3 linked regions of the Macaca mulatta genome follow. The protein of the gene in region 1 interacts with the protein of each later gene in a pairwise test. Links are inferred from orthologs where the notes say so. Each region holds a gene or a part of one and is shown on either strand. Other genes may lie near its edges.

The links.
Region 2: the proteins of CIB3 (region 1) and KLF17 interact in binary tests that used the Homo sapiens proteins (3 or more experiments, as listed by UniProt). The two-hybrid records come from large-scale screens. The link is inferred for Macaca mulatta from reciprocal best matches to the Homo sapiens genes CIB3 and KLF17.
Region 3: the proteins of CIB3 (region 1) and SERTAD1 interact in binary tests that used the Homo sapiens proteins (3 or more experiments, as listed by UniProt). The two-hybrid records come from large-scale screens. The link is inferred for Macaca mulatta from reciprocal best matches to the Homo sapiens genes CIB3 and SERTAD1.

The regions. Positions count from the first base shown.
Region 1 is NC_133424.1:16,649,721-16,653,956, forward strand, and holds the start of CIB3 (calcium and integrin-binding family member 3), read right to left. Parts: upstream 2,801-4,236; 5' UTR 2,757-2,800; coding exon 2,706-2,756; intron 2,475-2,705; coding exon 2,440-2,474; intron 1-2,439. UniProt on the Homo sapiens protein: Acts a an auxiliary subunit of the sensory mechanoelectrical transduction (MET) channel in hair cells. Plays a role in regulating hair cell MET channel localization and function.
Region 2 is NC_133406.1:196,521,081-196,525,228, forward strand, and holds the start of KLF17 (Krueppel-like factor 17), read right to left. Parts: upstream 2,801-4,148; coding exon 2,720-2,800; intron 1-2,719. UniProt on the Homo sapiens protein: Transcription repressor that binds to the promoter of target genes and prevents their expression. Acts as a negative regulator of epithelial-mesenchymal transition and metastasis in breast cancer.
Region 3 is NC_133424.1:51,532,120-51,536,364, forward strand, and holds the start of SERTAD1 (SERTA domain-containing protein 1), read right to left. Parts: upstream 2,801-4,245; 5' UTR 2,687-2,800; intron 145-2,686; coding exon 1-144. UniProt on the Homo sapiens protein: Acts at E2F-responsive promoters as coregulator to integrate signals provided by PHD- and/or bromodomain-containing transcription factors. Stimulates E2F1/TFDP1 transcriptional activity.

The DNA.
Region 1 (4,236 bases):
TAATCCACACATCTCTGGATATCGTCATGTTATCAGCAAGACCCTGCCTCCAAAGATACCTTCACTTTCATACATTCCGTTCCTCTCCTCATAATGGGAGGAAGGGGCTGGGTGCCGTGGTTCACACCTATAATCCCAGCACTTTGGGAGGCTGAAGTGGGCGGATCATCAGAGGTCAGGAATTCGAGACCAGCCTGGCCAACATGGTGAAGCCCCATCTCTACTAAAAATACAAAAAAGTAGCTGGGCATGGCGGCAGGCACCTGTAATCCCAGTTACTTGGGAGGCTGAGGCAGGAGAATCACTTGAACCCGGGAGGAGGAGGTTGCAGTGAGCCGAGATCATGCCACTGCACTCCAGCTTGGGCAACAAGAATGAGACTCCATCTCAAAAAAAAAAAAAAAAAAAAAAAAGGGGGGGGACGGTTTCCTCAAACGGGTCAGAGCAGAGGCACACAGCTAATATTCACGTTTTTCTAAAGGGCAGACAAAAGGCATTTTGCAAATAACTGAATACCACACACACTATCTAGATTGTAAGGCCAGTTCTCCACTCAGACACCCTCACCTGGTGACACCATACCTTCATTAGGGCATGCTGAGCAGCAGCCTTGCAGAGACCATCCTTGGTGGGTCTGAGGTTCCCAAGCTGCTAGGGACTCTCTCTGAGAGAGACACGAGTCCCTGGGTCATATGATGACTAGGAATTCAATGAAGGTAGGGTGGGGAGACCTAGAACTTCCCTCCTGACCACTCAGTTCCCTGTCGGGGTCCCCTCAGGGAATATCCTGGGTTTAGGTTTCTGTATGGCTCTGAGCAAGTTCCTCTCCCGCTCTGTGCCTTGGTTATTCTATCTGATAAGCAAGAAGTTTGGGACAGACGAAATGTCAGCCTTCAACCGCCTTGGGGCTCTGTGCATCTACCCTTCAGCCTGGGGTCAGCCCTACCCTGTCTGAGCCTCAGTTTCCCCATCGGTAATTTGATCATGATGGCCAAGGTGACCCTGCAAGCTGTCCTCACCCAGACAATGGGGCTCACGAGTAAAAGGTGTGGCCATCAATAATGGATGTCCTGTTACTACACAATTGGGGCCTTGGCCCCGATCACACTGCAGCCGAACCCTGGCCAGCTTGGGTTTCACAGCTCCAAGTTCATGGGCCGGGGCCCCTGGACAATGGCCCCACAGGCTGAGTGATGATATGGGATTCTCATCTGTGCCCATCGTGCTCGGTCACACCAGGGACATGCAGCAGCCTTGGGCCACCTCCCCATACCCTCACCTTAATGCCAAGCCTGCAACCCGTAGTGGGCTCTGGACTTTGCACCTGGGCTCCCAGCCTCAAGTCCCAGTCTCAGGAGAATCTTTATCTTTCATTTTGTTTTTTTGAGACGCAGTCTCATTCTGTCACCCAGGCTGGAGTGCAGCGGCGTGATCTCGGCTCACTGCAACCTCCGCCTCCCAGGTTCAAGCAATTCTCCTGCCTCAGCCTCCCGAGTAGCGGGGATTACAGGCGCCCACCACCACGCCCAGCTGATTTTTGTATTATTAGTAGAGACGGGGTTTCACCGTGTTGGCCAGGCTGATCTTAAACTCCTGACCTCAGGTGATCCACCTGCCTTGTCCTCCCAAAGTACTGGGATTACAGGCGTGAGCCACCGTGCCCAGCCTCAGGAGACTCTTTCTAACAAGCTGATGCTCTCTGCCCTGCTCATGCATGCTCCATGGCTCCCTGCCACCCTTGGGAGAAAGCCCAAGCTCATCAGCCTACAGACTGGGACAATGTGACAAGATGTGACTTCTCAGCTTTTCCATCTCTGCCTCCATGCACTGACCACACCTGCCCCCCTTCCCCATTTGAGTCCCATCAAATTGGAAATACCAGTTGGGCATGGTGGCTCACACCTGTAATTCCAGCACTTTGGAAGGCTGAGGCAGGTGGATTGCTTGAGCCCAGGGGTTTAAGAACAGCCTGGGCAACGTAGTGAGACTCCCATCTCTACGAAAAAATACAAAAATGAGGTGCACATGGCGGCTCGCACCAGTGGTCCCAGCTACTCGAGAGGCTGAGGTGGCAGGATCACCTGATCTTCGGAGATCGAGGCTGCAATGAGCCGCGATTGCACTACTGCACTCCAGCCTAGGCAATAGAGACCTATCTCAAACAAAAAAGAAAAGAAGGAAGGGAGGGAGGGAGGGAGGGAGGGAGGGAGGGGAACGAAAGAGGAAAGAAAGGGAGAAAGAGAGAAAGGGAGAAAGGGAGGAAGGGAGGAGGGGGGAAAGGAGGAAGGGAGGAAGGGAAGAAGGGAAGAAGGGAAGAAGGGAAGAAGGGAAGAAGGACCATACACACACACACACACACACCCCAAATTGCAAATATCCTCCAGCAATGAATAGAAAGTTGTTTTTCCAGATCTTTTCTCTCCACCTCCCTGGACTGACCTCATGATCTCCTTCCTTGTGAAAAACGTGCAGTCCTGTGGAGAGAGGTGTTGTCTTAACCCAAACCCTGCCTCTGGGGCCTCCTCCCATGGCCTCCTCCCTCCACCCCACACTCACACAGATGGCCCAATGCTGCCACACACAGAGCCGAACGAACCAGGAACCCAGGCAGACGGTACACCCGGATGAAGGGATTCTGTTCCCACTTCCCAGACCACGGAACCAAAGCTGTCAAACCCACTGAGGACCCCTCCTGACCCCTCTACCTGATACGCTTCCAGCTGCTCGTGTGTGAAGACTGTCTGCTTGTTGCCCATGGTGTGAACCACAGCCCAGACTCGGGGATGCACGCTGAAGGCTCCCAGCTTCCTCGGGGCCACACGGGTTGCCAGGCTGTTGTGTACCAGTGTCTGGGCAAATCTCCCTGCCCTGGCTGTCACCCGCCCACCCACACCGTCACCCCCTGCTTGGTGAGACTCAAATTACAGCCAGGCTCTCTGGACAACAGCCTGAATGTGTCCATGGGTGAGGATGAGGGCTGTGGGACATCACAGAGAAGCCCTCAGTGGGGAGGCCACATCTGCCACCACCAGGTGAGGCTGGGGTTACGGGCCACACTCAAGAGACAGGGAGGGTATGCGGAAGGGCTATGGGCACACTCCAGCTCAAATTCCAGCTCTCTGCCCACTAGCTGTGTGGCCCTGGGCAAGTCACCTGACTTCTCTGAACCTCATTCATGAGATGAAAATTACATTATACCTACCTCATATGGTCATTCTCAGGATCTGAGATTTAAAAAAAAAAAAAAGATTTTGGCTGGGTGAATTGGCTCATACCTGTAATCCCAGCACTTTGGGAGGCCGAAGCAGGTGGATCACCTGAGGTCAGGAGTTCAAGACCAGCCTGGCCAACATGGCAAAACCCCGTCTCTGCTAAAACTACAAAACTTAACCTGCTGTTGTGGTGCATGCCTGTAATCCCAGCTACTCCAGAGGCTGAGGCAGGAGAATTGCTTGAAAACGCAGGAGGCAGAGGTTGCAGTGAGCCGAGATCACACCATTGCACTCCAGCCTGGGCGACAGAGCGAGACTCCATCTCAAAAAAAAAATACGGTTTTGGTTGGGTGAGGTGGCTCATACCTGCAATCCCAGCACTTTTGGAGGCAAAGCATGAGGTTCGCTTGACGCCAGGAGTTCAAGATCAGCTTAAGCAGCATGGCAAGGCCCTGTCTCTACTAAAAATACAAAAATTAGCTGGACATGTTGGTTCATGCCTGTGGTCCCAGCTACTCGGGAGGCTGAGGTGGGAGGATTGCTTGAGCCCAGGAGTTTGAGGCTGTAGTGAGCCGTGATTGCATCACTGCACTGGGAACATGAACAAACTAGATGAAGTTCTGGGGTGTGCATTGATGTTATTATTATTATTTTATGATGTTTTATTTTTTTGAGATAGAGTCTCACTCTGTTGCCCAGGTTGGAGTGCAGTCGCATGATCTTGGCTCACTGCAATCTCTGCCTCCTGGGCTCAAGCGATTCTCCTGCCTCAGCATCCCAGGTACCTGGGACCACAGGTGTGCACAACCATGCCAAGCTAATTTTTTGTTTGTTTGTTTGTTTTGTGTTTGTGTGTGTGTGTGTGTGTTTTTTTGAGACCAAGTTTTGCTCTGTCACCCAGGCTGGAGTGCAGTGGCGCAATCTTGGCTTACTGCAAGCTCCACCTCCTGGGTTCACGCCATTCTCTTGCCTCAGCCTCCCAAGTAGCTGGGACTACAGGCACCTGCCACCAAACCTGGCTAAT
Region 2 (4,148 bases), on another chromosome or scaffold:
AGCTGTAAGTTCTAATCATAACTTAAAGGTAATACAAGTGATAGAAGATAAAGCTAAATGCTACCATGAGGAAGCAATCTGATATATCTGAAAGGAACATGCTATAAGACAAAAGTCAGTATCATGAAAAACTGAATCCCAATCATGAAAAAATAAAACTATTCTAATTTCAGAGACTCAAGGGACATAATCACCAGATACAGTGTATGGTCTTAAATTCTGGTTGGACATTCCAGCTACGAAGTACATTTTAGGAATAGCTAGGGGCATTTGAATAAGGCTTGCATCTAAGATGATTTAAAGGAATTATCAGCTGGGTGTGGCCGCTCACTCCTGTAATCCCAGCACTTTGGGAGGCTGAGGCGGGTAAATCACTTGAGGGCAGAAGATTGAGACCAGCCTGACAAACATAGCAAAACCTCTCTACTGAAAATACAAAAAATTAGCTGGGTGGAGTGGCACACGCCTATAATCCCAGCTACTTGGGGGGAGGCTGAGGCACCAGAATTGCTTGAACCTGGGAAGCAGAGGTTGCAGTGAGCCGAGATGGCGCCACTGCATCCCAGCCTGGACAACAGCACCAAGACCCTGTCTCAAAAAACAGTGTATATATATATACACATATATACACATATACATATATATATATATATACAATTTTGATACATTTGATTATGTGGTTTTGGCTATAGAGGAAAATGTTCTTTTTTAAAAAAACTCTAGAAGAGTTGGGAAGATCTTGTTTTATTTTTAATTTAAATAATTTTAGAGACAGGATCTCATTATGTTGCCCAGGCTGGAGTGCAGTGGCTATTCACAAGCGTGATTGCGGTGCACCACAGCCTAAAACTCCTGAGCTCAAACAATCCTTCTGCTTCAGCCTCCCGGGCCACTGGGACTACAGGTGTGAGCCACCGTGCCTGGCCTTATCAGTTTTATTTACCACTATATGCTCAGCAACTAGCATAAGACAGACATATAATAGGAACTAGGTAAATGACTATTGGGTGGGCCCCTCTGGGGTGCTCAGCCTGTCTTCCCTAACTCTTAGCAATGGCCCTCTCATTTTCCCAGTCCTTCATGGCAAATTAAGTTGTCTAAACAGGCCTTCACCACTACTTTGCCTTATGATTCTCCCAAATTTGCTCTGGCCTCCATCTCTCCACAGAGCCAGCTTGCATAAAGGTCACCAGTGACAACTTCCATCCCACTATGACCAAGCAGCACTTTCCAGACTCCTGGCTTGACCTCTCAGTTTATAGGACCACTGGCCACACCCTTCCTATAATGCTTCCCTTGGCCTCTCACACGCATGGACACACTTTCCGACCTTTTCTCCTTCCTTTCTCTCAGACCCCCTCCTTCACAGTCTCTTTTGCAGATTTCTCTTCCTCTACTCTCTCTGGGCAAGCTTCCCCATGCCAGTGGATCTGTTTCTGTTTACAATCCAACTATTCCTAAATCTATGGCTCTGGCGAAGATGGCTCCTGCATTTTCCAGCTAGCTATTGTTTGGGTCTTTTTGGATGGCCCACGGGTTCTTCCAATGGACTGTGTCCAAAATTCACTATCATCTTTGCCCACCTCCCCCAAACAACGGATTAACCTAGTCCTTCTCACCCTTCTTTCTCGCTCAGAAAATATCACTGCTGTCACTCAATTGTGCAAGCAAGAAATCTGTTACTCTAGATGTCTCCCTCACCACTTGGAAGCAATGATTGTGATCCCTGTCTCCAAAACATCTCCACAATCTATGATACATCTAGCTTCTCCATCTCCACTCTCACTTCTCTAGGTAGGCCGCCATTTGAATTCTCACCTGGATTATCACAAAAGCTTTCTAACTATTGCCTTGAATCCAGCCCACATCCACCAGGACACTCCTTTGAAAATGCAAATCTAATTGAGACAGACTGTTTAAACTCATCAATGGCTTCCCACTGCTCTTGGAATAAACAAGCCCTGAATGATCTCAATGTGTCCCTGGGGCCACCCTCCCATCACTGTCTAGGCCCTGGTCTTTCAGTTCCTCCTAAGAGGAAGCATACAGCCTGTGGTCTTAGACCGGGGAACCCTTCACCTGACCGGTTCTCTAGTCCCAGAACAGAGTCTCAGCTGTCATTAAGCCTCCCAAATCGGGTCAAACACCTCTGGTATCTGCTCCCATGCGCCCCCGACTTCTCCTTCATGTAACGCCGTACAATTCCAATCATTCAGCTAACGATTTATTAATAAAATTTTATATATATCTGTTTCATGGTAAATTCATCATTGTATTTCCACGGTCTGGAAAAAGCCTACCACTTAGTAGGGCTCCAATTAACATTTTTTTTTTCCTGTCATTTTCTGCTCACTTCTTAACTTGGTCTTTGCTGTCCTGCCTACTCAAATCCCTCGCCAGAAAGTTGCCTGGAACCCTCTTACCCCCGATGCACCCAACACAAGCTCTACTGCTGGGCGAACATTATTGGAATAAACGACGTATGATTTACACCCTCAATCTCACAACCCTCCCTTTCCAGTCCCTCCCCAATCTCGCATCCCTCCCTTTGCAGCCCCTCCCCAATCTCCCATTCCTTCCTTTGCAACCCCTCCCCTCGGATTTCCACCCCTCGGGTTTCTGCTTCCCTCTGCCTCCCTTCTCCTACACGGCCTCCTCTCCCCGCCGCCCCCTAGCCTGGGCCCGCCCCCGGCCTGCCAGGAGCTGACACCTGACTCACCTGGGCAGCCTGGTGCGCCACCTGCCATCGGCTCAGCTCCCCAGCCTCCTGTTCCATCTCAGCCCGCGGTCGGTTGTACATGAAGACTGGGTGGGGTCTAGACTCTACTGAACAGACAGGAAACCAGCCACCACGGCGTCGCAGGCGGGTATCGGGACATCGCCACGCCACAATCACCTTCTATTTACCTACTTACAACTGCGCCAGGGGGCGGAGTCAGCCCCACCCGTCCCGCCCTGCGCCGCCCCCGCAGCCCTGCCCTAGGCTGCCCACCCCAACCAAGGCGGCATCACGGACAGCCACCTTAGGCCTTGAACGCTTCCTAAAGGAAGTTGGTCCGCCCACCCAACCCACCCATTCCACCCTTCAGTCTGAGCAACTGTTTCACCCAAGTAGGGGCTGAGGACCCCCAGGTCTCAGACTCCACCCAGGAGGAGGCTGGAGAGAGAGGCAAGGCTGGGTGTAGGGCGTCTGCCGACAGGAGAGCCTCCACCAGCACTCTATCAGGTCGGGAGTTGCCATAAGCTTTGGGAGGGCTGGAGCTTTTCTGCTACAGTCTGTGCACCTCTGTCCCTTGTCTGTACGAACTGAAGACTGCGAGCTTCATGGCACAATCTATTTATTCCACAGTGTTTACTGAGTGCCCAGTGTGTGTTGGGCATTGGTCTCTGAACTAGGGGTAAAATGGTGAACAGGACAGAACAAAGTCCTTGCTGTCAATTTCCATTTTACATGGGCAGACAAGAAATGAGTAATAAAGTTGTTAACTATTATAACTTTAGATGGTGGTGAGTGCTATGGAAAACCAAAAGACAAATGTGAGCTGAAAACGAAATGCCTGAAAGGAGCCAGCCATAGGAAGATTGAAAGGCTCTAAGGCAAGAAAGAGCCCAACAGTGCTAGAAGGAAATTGAAGGCAGGGTGACCACAGTGATACCGCATGGGCAGTGACACGAGGACAGAGGGATAGGGCCTTGAAGACAGTAGAAAGGAGTTTGGATTTTATTCTGGAACTTGATATGATCTGATACATGTTTTTAAAATAAGCCATTTGGCTCCTTATGGATTATAAAGGGCCAGAGGGGTGCAGAGACACCAGTTAGAAATCTAAAGGAGCTGTGGCTGGGCCAATGGTTCATGTCTGTAATGCCAGCACTTTGGGAGGCTGAGGTGGGCGGATCACCTGAGTTGGGAGTTTGAGACCAGCCTGACCAACATGGAGAAACCTACTAAAAATACAAAATTAGCCAGGCGTGGTGGTGCATGCCTGTAATCCCAGCTACTCAGGAGGCTGAGGCAGGAGAATCACTTGAACCTGGGAGGCGGAGGTTACAGTGAGCCGAGATCGCACCATTGCACTCCAGCCTGGGCAACAAGAGTGAAACTCCGTCTCAAAAAATAAAATAAAATAAATAAATCTAAAGGAGCT
Region 3 (4,245 bases), about 35 Mb from region 1:
GAGGTCAAAGAGGGAGCTAGAGGCCACAGCTGGGGGTGCCTGTGCCACCGATGCGTGGCCAGGATCCAGCCACCAGGCGTCGACTGCCAGAGGTTCCTTCTCCTCCTCCTCCTCCCGTTTCCGCTTCAGACCCTTGCTCAGCATCTGCAGAGGGCAGGGAGTTATGGAGTTATAGTCAGTTATAGAAAACAAATGTTCAGTTCAAAGCCTGGATCTGACAGTTGCTACAGGTAGGATCTTGGGCAAGTCACTTAACCTCTCTGTGTCTAGCTTTTCCTAGGGAACTTTAAAGATATAGATAATTTTTATTTAATTGCATATGTATATTTATAAATTATTATTATTATTTTGAGATAGAGTCTCGCTCTGTTGCTCAGGCTGGAGTGCAATGCCGTGATCTCAGCTCATTGCAACCTCTGCCTCACGGGTTCAAGTGTTTCTCGTGCCTCAGCCTCCCCAAAAGCTAGGATTGCAGGCGCACGCCACCATATCTGGCTAATTTTTATATTTTTAGTAGGGGCGGGGTTTTACCATGTTGGCCAGCCTGGTCTCGACCTCCTGGACCTTAAGTAATCCGCCCACCTCTGGTTCCCAAAGTGCTGGGATTACAGGTGTGAGCCACCACACCCAGCCTATAGACTTTAAAAGAAATTTTTTTTTTTTTTTGAGACAGTCTCTCTCTCTGTTGCCCAGGCTGGAGTGCAGTGGCTCGATCTCGGCTCACTGCACGCTCCGCCTCCGGGGTTCACCCCATTCTCCTGCCTCAGCCTCCCACATAGCTGGGACTACAGGCGCCCGCCACCACGCCCGGCTAATTTTTGTATTTTTAGTAAAGATGGGGTTTCACCATGTTAGCCAGGATGGTCTCGATCTCCTGACCTCATGATCCACCCATCTCGGCCTCACAAAGTGCTGGGATTACAGGCATGAGCCACCGCGCCCGGCCTTAAATTTTAAATTTTGTATTTAAGTATATTTATAGACTTTTTAATCTGAAAAAAGAGATGGGGTCTCACTATATTGCCCAGGCTGGTCTCAAACCCCCTGGCCTGAAGTGATCCTCCCCCCTCAATCAATAAACACTCTTTTTTTCCCCCCTTTTATTTTTTGTAGAGACAAAGTCTTACTATGTTACCCAGGGTGGTCTCAAACTCTTTGCCTTAAGCCATCCTCCCGCCTCAGCCTCCCAAAGTACTGGGATTATAAGTGTGAGCTGCCATGCCCTGCCAATAAGTACACTTAATGATAACATTATTATTTCTTCAGTGAACCATGTGGAATGACCATTCAACTTTTTCCCCTACAAAAGCAGCTGTTTCATATATTATAATAACGTTATAAATAATTATATCTAAGTAAGTTATATTATAAATACTAAACTAGTTTCACATAGTTTAACACTTATTGTCTACTATGACGTTTCAAACAGTAAATAAATAAGCAAACACAGGAAATGTACGGAGAATTACAGGAAGACACTAAAAGGTCCTGGAGACCTTTTAGATGATCAGAGAAGGCTCCTGTAAGGAGGTGACATTTGAATGGAGCCCTCAGGCCAGAGAAGTCGGCCATGGGAGACCCTGGGAAAAGCATTCCGGGAGGAGGGAACAACAAAAAAAGGCAAAGAAAAGCCCAGAGGCTGGGGGAATGGGCACAAGCCAGGTCACAGAAAACCACATATGCATTAGTAGGGAGTTTGGATTTTATCCTGAGTGTGGTGGGCAGTCATTAAAGGAATTTGAGCACGGAGGGAATGGGGGTGTGAGCTGATTAGGTTTCCGGAAGATCCCCCCCATGGCTGCTTCGAGGAATACTGTAGGGGGCAAAAAGAGGGGGGATCTGAGACCCACTAGTAGGCTGTACTGGTTTGGGACTGACGATAGTGATGGCCTGGAGCAGGAGCTGGTAGTGGGTATGGAAGGAAGTCGGTCGAGTCAGGATTTCTTTGGGAGGCAGAATAGACAGGGCTTGTCGAGAAATCGTGATCGGCACCGGGGTCAGTCACTGAGATAAGTTTGAGGGTCCACTCTTTTCTTGGAGTGGCGGGGGTAGGGCTGGATGGAGTTTTGGACCCCTGGCGCTACCTACTTTTTTGGGCCAGGAAGACTTTAGAGTCCAGTTCCGGGACCCTGCCTAGCAAGATTTTAAGAGTGGCCCACCACACTACTCAAAACTGGGTCTTCGTCCCCTTCCCCGCAGTCCGTGGAGTCCGGAACCGCAGGAATTCCGCCCCCACCCCCGACTCCGCCCCCGAGTCCCGGCGCCCCCTGGCGGTGCCCAGGCCGGCTTTCCCCTGGGGATTCTGGCCCCTCTGACCCCAGAACCCCTTCTACTGCCCGGCTGTGATTCCTGCAGGCCTCCCGGCGCCGTGAGAGCCAGGACCCTAGGCGGGCTGTTCTCTGCGCCCGGCCTCCGCTCGCTTCCGGCAGTGGAGGCGGCTCCTCCCGAAGCGGCGGCGGCGGGGGCGGGTGAGTCACGCAGCCGGAGCCAAGGAGCCGGCGCCTCCGCCCCCTTCTCGGACTGCGGCGTGATTCACCCGGCCCGGCCGGGGCAGACAGCACGTAGAGGCCCGCGCGTCTCGATCCCGGGCAGCCCCGGCGGGCACCTGTCGGACCCAGGGATCGAACTCCGTGAAGGACCCGGCCGCTGGTACCCCTTTTCTTCCCAGGCCCCTTCATTTACATACCCTGCTCACTAGCGGCCAATCAGAACGAAGAGGTAGCCACCCACAACCAATCAGGAAACGGCAGCGGCAGCATCGCTTGCTCGCTCTCCTCCAGCAACCGGCGCCTGGGTCGCGAGACGCAGTTCTGACTTCGGCTCACGACTCCAGACTCCTAACTACCCTTAGCGACCGCCCACTCTCGTGGCTGCCCCGCCCTCCGCCCCAGGGATTGGCCCTCTACGGTGATGGGCGGAGCCTGTAAAGGGCGGATTCTGAAGGAGGGGCTTCTGGGCGCATGCCCGGGCAGCTGCGCGAGTGAGGGGTGGAAAGAGGTGGCTTTTTACTCTGGGGGACGGTGGCGAGTGGGAGCTTTTGCCTCTCAAAGTACGAGCCCCTCACAACTACCCATGCACCTGCCAAACCCGGCAATTAAGCTTCTTACACATCCACCCCCGACAGTGGTCTACACTACAGATATGCCCAGGTTCAAATTCCGACTCCTGATTCCCCACTCACTCGATGCGTGACCTTGGAAAAATGATCAACCTCTTCAAGCTACACAAAGTTAAATGGGGATCGTCTTGCATACCTCTTGACAAGAAAGTTTAAATAGGATCGTATCTATAAGAACACAATACCACACTCAAGCAATGCTGGACAGTTGGACTTAATTGTGGTTAAGGGCGGCAGTGAGGTGGGAGTGCGGAATCACATCCCGGGCTCCATTCCCTAAGCAGCTGTGTGACCTGGGGCAAGTGTTTTAATCCCTTCGGGTCTTTTTCTCCTTTAACATGAGAGAAAATAGCCCCTAGTTTAGAGGATTGTTTTAAGGATTAAATAAAACAATTCATGCAAAATCCTCAGAGTGGGGTGCAATGTGTTTTGTGGTTTTTTCATTTTATTTATTTATTTATTTATTTATTTATTTATTTATTTAAGACAGATTCTCACTCCGTCGCCCAGGCTGGAGTGCAGTGGCACGATCTCAGTTCACTGTAACCTCCGCCTCCCAGGTTCAAGCAATCATCCTGCCTCAGCCTCCTGAGTAGCTGGGAATACAGGGGTGTGCCACCATACCCGGCTAATTTTTGTATTTTTAGTAGAGGTGGGTTTTCACCTCGTTGGCCAGGCAGATCTCAAATTCCTCACCTAAGGTAATCCGCCCTCTCAGAGTACTGGGATTAGAGCCCTGAGATGCCGCGCCCAGCTGCCTTTTTTTTTTCTTTACTTTTTATTTTATTTTATTTTGTTTTTGAGACAGGGTCTCGCTCTGTCACCCAGGTTGGAGTGTAGGGGTGCCATCTCAACTCACTACAGCCTAGACCTCCAGGGTTCAAGCCATCCTCCTGCCTCAGACCCCCAAGCAGGTGGGACTACAGGCACATGCCACCGTGCCTGGTTAGCAACACGTTTCCTTGTTAGCAGTAATAGCTGTTGTAATAAGACAAGCTTTTAGTTCAAGATGAATAGACATGCAGGATGGGGCTAGAGGTAGACAGGGTATAATACTCCTCCCTTGGCTGGATGCAGTGGCTCACACCTGAATACTCTCTCACCTAGATTTAATTGATAGTTGTTGG